3 linked regions of the Drosophila melanogaster genome follow. The protein of the gene in region 3 interacts with the protein of the main gene of each other region in a pairwise test. Each region holds a gene or a part of one and is shown on either strand. Other genes may lie near its edges.

Region 1 (2,690 bases), on a different chromosome or scaffold from region 3:
AATTATCATTTCGAAATATCCTTTGATTTGTACCTAATCATTTAAAGCCATTTAACAAATAGTTGTTATCTTAATAGCTTATTATCTAGTTGCCTTGTTAGTTACGTAGCTTTACGCTCTTTGAAAGTAATATTTTATGCTGTTCTTTTTTGCTTTTAATTCATACGTACAATAGGTATTTCCAAGTCGTGTGGGTACTTCCTAACGCCTTCAGCTGCTTCAGCTTATTGTTGGTGTCTTCGCTTTGTTGTACCGCTGTTGCCCTTGTTGCTTTTGTTTCGCCCGATGTTGCTGGTGTCGCCAAACGCAGACGTCGCCGTCTTCTGCCTTCCAAAAAGTGGGGTGGCAGCTGGAGGGGGCGTGCCAAAGGGAAACTTTTCAAATAAAATGATTTCTTATTTAGGCAACCGATTTGAGACACGCCCCCACACCCACACCCAGGCCCATTTCCATTTCCATTCCTCGGGCAGGAGCAACGCAACCATTACTCGGAGTTCGAAATGGAAATCGGTGCAGTTAATGGAATCGGTGGACGGTTTTATATATTGAAATAAGCAGAATATATATCTTTATTTAAAGATTTTTGAATGTTTTTACATGAAGGACTCGGCGATCGAGTTTCTAGGCGGACGCCTCACTGGAGGACTCGCTGGAGCTCTCCTGGGAGGAAGAGTCTTCGGAGGAGGATGAGTTGCCACCTTGGGGAGGTCCTTGTGGGAGTCCCTGGGGAGGTCCCTGAGGTATTCCCTGCGGCGGCTGGAGTCCTCCAGAGCCCTGAAGTGGTCCCAGACCTCCCTGCGGAAGTCCTGGAGGACGACGTCCTTGGACAGCAGCCAGAGCCACCATGGCGAGCACAACGATGAGGAAGATTACACGCATTTTGATTTTGTAGATGATTGACTTAGCAAATTCAATTGACTTCACCAACTGCACCCGAGCCCTATATATACCTCGGAGATCTCTACGGAATCGGATCTATTGCAGGTGTTTTGCAATTCTATGTTTTCGATGGACAAACAGAAGCATTGTGCAAACAGCGATGACCCAAGTGAAGTTGTGTAAACCCTTCATAATGGAAATACTTGGCCAACTGGTGATCTTAAAATATTAAACAAACTAACCTCGTGGTTGTGAAACTTTAGATTCATTATATTTATACTTACTTCCTAAAGCTATTCCGGGTGATCTAATGAATAAAATGTAGATTTATTGGAACAGCTTTAGGTTTTTTCGTTTCTTTTTTATTTTAGCAAAGTATCTAACTATAAGATTTCTGTTTCATAGATTTTTCTTTTCCGTAAATATGCATTTTGATTTAGCTTAAAGCTTTTCTCGGCACACCCAAGATGGGGAAATATAAAAATGGCAATGAAATAAAGTCGGGCAAAACAATTGAGCTGAAACCTTAAGCTCTTTGCTGGGATTTGGCCAAAAAAAGTGGAAAGTACTTGCACTTGTCTCGCCCCCACAAATCCCACACTCCGCGCATTTCTAAGATCCTGGAGCATTTGCCACTTGGATGATACACCTAACTTATAAAAATTTCTGCACATGATTCCGCTTTATTGCTTTATGACCGTGTGTGAGTTCTACTTGGAAATTCATATCTCTGGTACTAAACAAATGTTTCAACATTGAGCTTCGGCTTCTTGCTTTCCGGTTTTTTGCAACACGAGCCTATTTTCAGGACCTTGCATTAAATTTCGTTATTTCGTGCTCTTTTTTTTAGCCAGCATACATTTTTTTATTTATCGTAGTTGAGAGCTAACTTTAACCCTGTTTTTCTTAGTGTTCGTTCTTATGAATATTTCAAAGTACTGCCAGGCTCAAACTTTGACATTCAGACTGAAATTTGCCTTTATCCCGCGGAGAAGTGCACGCACCAACTCTCGAATATCCACATATAGTATCCTTGCAGCGAGTGTATAGCTTACCCTAAGTGTTAACACTTTCACTCGCAGGATTTCTTTTCGCTTATTTTCCTGTCTCGCAATTGCCGGCATGTAGTGTTGCTTATGAATCTATTTACAACAGCAACAAAAGGACCTTTTCTGTAGTCGTAATAACCTTTGATGATCTGTTTCAACGGCGCGTGCTGTGAATTGTCAATAAAAAGGCAATTTCGACGCTCTAAAACCAGCTCGGTGGACTGGATATTCCACTTCAGCACCGCACTTTCCACTTTTCCTATGTGGCTGCCGTTATGTGGTAGCTTTATGGAGAGCATGGGTGTACGACAGGGACTCGCAGGATGCGATACAAAGCTCTAGATGTCTGGATTCATTTCTGAGTTCAATCGGAGGGAACAGGATAATCGTTATAACCTCAAGAATTGGCGGTCGCTTCAATTATGGCTTGATTGATATATGGCTCTTCAGATATAAATTACATTTTCTGTACCATCAGTTCATCTAAACTTAATTTCTTATTCGTGTGCTAAAAAATTTAATGAGAGCTTAAAGGATACGGATATAGATATTAGCTGATTTTTCACATGCCAGCTATTAGCTAGTAGTTATCTATACCAAGTAGCAGTCCACAGGACTGCTGCCAAGGACGATTAGAAAGATTTCCCAACGGGTTCTGATTATTGGGGTAATTGGCCGCCCGGACGTTCCCTTGATTTGCGGTCAGCTGTCGTTGCCATCGGTCACATTTTGATTAACCCGAACGCAAATCCACTCACACCC
Region 2 (2,832 bases), on a different chromosome or scaffold from region 3:
TTGTAGGTTTCCATCGCTCCGAATAGCCCGGCATTGAAACCCCTTTGTAACCCCTTTCCTGGCTCATCAGCCGGAATGGACCTATGGCCATGTGCGCGGGGTTGAGGGGTGAGTTTCATGCTCATAATTTGTGCACTTTATTAATAAAGTTTTCCAAATTGGCTTGGCCCAGACGCAGTGCAAATACACAAAGCGAGGAGGAGAATGAATATACAAAAAAAGTGTATAACAATTGTAAAACAATATGGCTCTAAGAACTTGTGTAAAACATAACATTTTTTTTAGTCACATACATAAACAGAAACGCGGGCCTATATTTTCAACTGATAGTGGAAGTTTTCAGAGCCTTTAAGATGACAAATCTATTCAGTCATGTTATTTTCCCTTCGATTTCAATTTGCTTTAAGATTCTACCCTCGAATTTCTCTTTTCCCTTTGACCATTAATATCGAGCTTGCCTTTCTAAGCTTACGGGGTTCAAGAAACGAAGTTTTTAGTTTGCTGGGGAAAGTGTTTATTTAAGTAACTGGGAAAGTGGCGAGGAGGTGTGTGTCCCCCTCCAGAAATATCCCAGTTCTAGTTGTTCTGCCCGCTTTGTCCTTGTCCACTCTGCTGGTTGCCGTTTCCATTGCCATTTGGCGGTCTTGGCGGCTGTCCCTGCGAATGTCCATTTTGGCCCTGGGCGGCCACCTGCAGCGGCATTTGTGCCTGGAAAACCTCTGGTTAGGCCAAGTGGATGATTGAAAACCCTTCAACTCTTACCAAACCCACAGCCAGAATTAGAAGGAAGATGCTGAACAATGCGAACTGCTTCATGTTGAATTTGAAACTAGTAAACTAACAACACATGTGGTCTTTTATAGTCATACAGCACAACTGCGGTTCCCAAGAGATTATAATCCAGTGCAATTAACCATCGCAGTGAACAAAATGGCAAAATCAGTTTGTATGTTAATAATGCCATTCTGTATTATTTTGCTCGCTCGAATCTGATTTATAATGTCGTAATTGCGTGTGACCCGATCTGATCGCATATACAATATATTAAAACGACAAAATAACTCCAAAGGGGAGCCATCATTTTGCTGTTTAATTGGAAAAACAAATTTGAAAAAATTAGCCAGAATATCTCTCAAATGTCACTAAGGTCATCATATCATAGCTATAATTAACTAAAAATGTATAGATTGAGCTCTAAATTTAATAACATTTTGGACACGCCAAAACAAATACGTTTTGCGAAAAATTAACTTGGATGGTAAGAATTTATAAGTCAACATATAGCGATCTGATTCACACTCTGACTTCAAAAGCTATATTGATTATAAAATATTTGGGCGTTTTATCTTTGATAACATCAGAGCGTCATAAGCAGTTACTGAAAAATAACCACTAGGTGGAGCTCGTGTGCACTCACGGAAGCAGTCGGAGTAACAGGTATCTGATATTCGATACTTTTGACACTGTCTCTGGTTTTTTGTATCTTGTCTTGGTAAACTATTTTCCTAAAATATTCCAAGTGGCATATTAAATTTCCTTAGCCTCGCACTTTACGAAGCTTTCGAAATCAATTCATTTAGGCACTATTACATTTTCATAAAGTTTGTCTAGGCAGAGTAAACCGTCAATTATTCAAACTGGATTTCCTATTGCTGCTCGGTCTTTTAATTTGAGCGTATGCTCAAACAATCCAACACACCAGCCACCCATATGCCACCATTCTTTGACTGACACTACACGTTTTGAAAGAGATTCGCACACCACCCACCATCCACCTGCCATCCAACTGCCACCGCCCATTCACTTGCCCCTCGCCATCACCTTGGGGGCATGGTCGGGCAAAGCAATTTCGCTCGGCATTTTCGAGCGTTGAGTGGCAAAATGTCTTCGGTTTCAGCTTGAGATTAAATTCTGCCGAACGTTGGCCAAACAGAAACAAGACTTTCTAGTTTACACAACAACGATGGGTCCCGCCCGCCGATTCACCTGTCACCACCTATGGGCACATCGATGTTTGCAGACTGAAGGAAGTGCATATAGTTGAATTATTTAGTTACAATTGATACAAGTATAGGTAATTTCTAATGTTAAGTTGGGAGGCATTCTTGAAATTAATCTTCTAAGAACTCTATTACAATAATTTTGAAAAATTAAAATAAACTATAAGAAACATACATATGCGTATGATAGTAACAACAATGCAAGCAGTTGCAGAAATAATTTTTAAAAATATTATAAACGACTTTGTGCAGATTTCTTACTGTGTACTTGTGTGGGTTTTTTTCGGTTAATAAATGTCCCTGCCACAGCGAAATATGAATATTGAATATGCCCATAGTCGCGAACTGAGCGGCTGAATAAACCGCAAGCGAGTGGCGAACCCATAACGCCTTATAACCATTTCGGCACTTTTCAGGACGACGGAGGAATAGCCAAGGATTTGGATGGCCATATGGGGGAAGGAGGGCGGTAAATTCGGGTAGCAAGACGACACCAGCATACATTGTGGATGAGCACTAATGAAGTCTCAGCCCTCGTCCTTTACAGTTGGCTGCCTCATTGTTTGACTTTGACTTTGCCACTACCTTTCACTACCAACGGCCCCGCCCACTTTTCCACTTTGCACACTCACAATTGTTTGCACAGTCACTGCTTTGTCCTTTGACCCCCCCGCGCAAAGCACTCCGCCTCTGCCTCTGGCCAGCCTATTTATTTATGTTTATAATAGGATTTTTATCAAAACTTTTCCCCGAATTAATTTTGTAATGAGTATTTAAAAGACACTCGCATTTGGACAGGACACACACACACAAAGAGACCCGCAGCGCGGCA
Region 3 (3,412 bases):
GTCGTTGTGGTTGCCATAGCTGTTGCTGTTGCATGTAGCATGTTGTTGTTGCTTTCGCTTGTGCTGCCGACAACAGCAACAGCAGCAGGGCAAACAAGTTGAATGGCATCCAGAGATGGGCAGGGAAAGGGATTGTGTACTGCCAACAGCAGTTTGATTGTTATTGCCAATGAATGAATGCACTTGCTCCGAGGATTTGTCTGCCAGACGACCAACTTATGAGTTTCCATCTACAACTCCGGTCCAAGAGATGCGGCTCCTGCTCCAGCTTCGTTTGCCCCGAGGGTTGTGGCAACACATTTTGCGGTCTGCAGTTGCAGCTTCTGCTGTTTCTGCCGCTGCTGATGCCATTGTTCCCACTGCCCCACCGCAACACTGCACCACAGTTGGATCCCTGCGCCGCCACCAACTCCCATCCAGCGCGATGGTGTTGCTCCTGCGTAAGCCTGCAGGGGGTGTTTATGCTGTTTGTTGTTTGTTATTTGCCGTTTCGCAACTGTGTGTTGGCAATGAATTGGCTGCAAACAACATTTCCGTTTTGGCCATTATATGGCGCCCACTCTACAAATGGGCGAGCATAATAGCCGGAGGGGGAGGTGGTGCAGTTGGGGTTAGCTCCCCGTCGCCGCTGACATTTTCACACTTTTCAGCGGAGTGGGTGAGCAGCTGTTGGCGGCGGGCAAAAGGATTGCCTTGCATTATCCTTGTTCATTTCCCTTATACTTTTATTACTGATGATTTATTGATGTCCCTTTGTTGTTGGCGGCGTGGGGTTTTTTCATTAACTTTTTATCAAAGATCGGGGGTTGGACATAAATAAATGAAGGACACGAGCAATCACTTCAAGGGTTATGAAAACTGCCAAATTAAAGGGCAAACATATGAAGTATCTACTACCGTTAAACAAGATACATGTATAATGTTTTAAACGTTGTTTTCATTCACCATTCGTTGGTCTTCTTCTGATGCACGGTATTGCACTCTTATAGTAAGTAATTGATGAATTTTAATGGCTTTCAAATTGGTACGATAATGTATATCTGTTTTTCAGAATTTCAACACCTTCGCCAGACAATAGCATGCTGCAAGTGCCGCAGCAATTGTCCATTGTTTCGGGTATCCTGGCCAACCAACCGGCAATACATAACTACATAAATTAACGGACCTCGATTCCAGGACCAGGACCACGGAAAGGGATCGGGCCAGAGACGTAGGGATGGCGCAGTGTCGACAGCAGGAATCGCCACCAGCTCTTCAATTGATTTTGCGAAAGCACTTTGTTGGTGGGCCCCATCTCAGAAACGGAACACTGCAGCACTAACTGGACAGCGGACGGCGGACAACGGACGACGGACTTCGAAGTTCGAACATTTGAGACAATGGGGCAGCAGCAGCAGTAGCATAACAAGGGGTATTGTGTGCACGTATTGAATGAATTGCCTTTGGCTTTCATTTCAGCTCTTTTTTCTGGGGCTGCAGGCTTCAGTCCAGTTTGGCTTTGTCCTGGCCGGGAAACAGTTCGATTGCGGGAGAAAATGAAATCAAAGTCGTATCAATTTGAAACCTGTTTCGATGTCGTTGTTAACACATGTTAACCAAACGTAGCCAAATTGCCAAGGAAAATGCAAAAAAACGTGGCAGCAGAAATCGAAATTGATATTGTTTTTATCTACATGAGTTGTTAAAATTACAATATATATGTAAAGTACCAATCTCAAACTTATAAGGCTGTAAAATCCTTTTTAAACTCACTTAACTGAATTCTACTTTTCATAAAAGGTGACAAGAACTAGTTGACTCTGGATTTTCTGACACTTTGCATCTGGTGTTCAATTCAACAACACCAGTCACATTAATCTTATATTTCGTACAAAACCGAGCCATATTTTATTGTAAATAAAATTCGATAAAATTTCGGTGGACATATTGGACGAAGATGTCCAGTCTGCAAGATATTCCGCTTGCCGACCCCGAGGGCCTGTCTGTGGAAGGTCCCGAGGTGGCCCCCGCTCCAAAGTCCAATTCCTTGAAGCGCTTCTTTAAGATCAGCAAGAAGCCAATGATGCGCGACCAAGTGGAGGATGACGACGAGACATCCTCCCAGGACAACAAGGACCTGGGAAAGTCAAACACTATAAGTCGCTTCTTTACCCGGATGAAGGGAGCCAATAAGGGTAAGCTCTTTTGACTGGTATTAAATATGATTTGTTGAAAAAAAAATGATTGCCTAATGACTTACAATTAAAAGGAGCTCTTCTTGAATAATCATAAACCCCACTTGCCAGATGTTCAAGATCCTTCGAGCTCGGTGGTCGAACCCGTGGAGCAGGATAAGCCGTTGCCGAATGCAAAGCCCACGATTAAGACATCCATTTCATCCTACTGGAAGATACTGTTCAACCGGCAGAAGAGCCAGCGCCAAAACGCAGCTTTAGGGCAGACCAATGCCAATAAAGAGGATAACGAGTCTGAAGAAGTCCATGAACTGCAACCAGTAAGCCAAGATCCCGATACCGATCCTCAGCCGACAGTCAAGGATGAGCACGATGAAATGGAACGTGGCACAGATCCGGAGCCACCCAACCCGAAGCCCAACAAAAGTGTTGCCAGCAAGGCATCCGGTCAGGAGATTGTCAGTGCCTTAGAGGGCGGCCAGCTGTCTACCAATGATCACGAGAATGCGGCTTCCATTTAGCCGTCTTCAACTAACACTAATCAAACCCGATGTCTAGTATCTCTACCGATCTCGAGGCAAAGGTTTAGAAATCAGTTAGGGAGCTGATTCAACCTTACACAATATATACTCTTCAAACACATCCCTGCTAACTGACATACATACAAGAACAAACATTTTCGCTTTGATTCCACAAATGATAATTCCGAGCTCACGAAATAAACACATACAAGACCCCAGTATGTTGTCATGTCATCCTTTGTGGTAAATCCATCCGTTTTTGTTCGTCTAAGGGGTCACAGAGTTCAGTTAAATCGGTTGTTAAAACGTCTTCACTGGGGGGTTTTGATTACCTAAACGAGTTTCATGTTTTGCGTTGCAAACAGTGGGGTTAAAAGGTGCCGCATGAGCCAGACAAGCCCGAGAATTATTTGAGGTTTTCACTTTCGAGGGAAGCCCTAAAGATGAGCCACCCCCAAAAGTTGGCTAACTAAATCACGTAATGAGTATTTAATTGTTGGAAGGTGTGCTATTAAGGAATAAGGGTGCAGAAAGTTTTATTTTAAACTTTATTTCAGTATCAGTATACCAGTGCAAATTTCTTGGCTCAGTTCCAAAGAGGTAGATATAGATATATCTCAAGAATGAGTAGTTTTCTTATCTCGTGTCAGTACTTTGGAAAATCTGAAACACACCAGTTGCATATCAGGATAAACAGCTGGGCGATGTTTACCAACA

The links. The genes of interacting proteins can lie anywhere in the genome.
Region 1: the proteins of CG5217 (region 3) and whe interact in a two-hybrid assay, tested with the Drosophila melanogaster proteins (one large-scale study listed by BioGRID).
Region 2: the proteins of CG5217 (region 3) and CG12158 interact in a two-hybrid assay, tested with the Drosophila melanogaster proteins (one large-scale study listed by BioGRID).

Annotation. Positions count from the first base shown.
Region 1 is NC_004354.4:21,401,839-21,404,528, forward strand, and holds whe (what else), read right to left. Parts: upstream 935-2,690; 5' UTR 880-934; coding exon 622-879; 3' UTR 501-621; downstream 1-500.
Region 2 is NT_033778.4:9,362,074-9,364,905, forward strand, and holds CG12158 (uncharacterized protein), read right to left. Parts: upstream 834-2,832; 5' UTR 817-833; coding exon 763-816; intron 709-762; coding exon 577-708; 3' UTR 501-576; downstream 1-500.
Region 3 is NT_033777.3:19,246,552-19,249,963, reverse strand, and holds CG5217 (uncharacterized protein), read left to right. Parts: upstream 1-1,827; 5' UTR 1,828-1,936; coding exon 1,937-2,174; intron 2,175-2,285; coding exon 2,286-2,695; 3' UTR 2,696-2,912; downstream 2,913-3,412.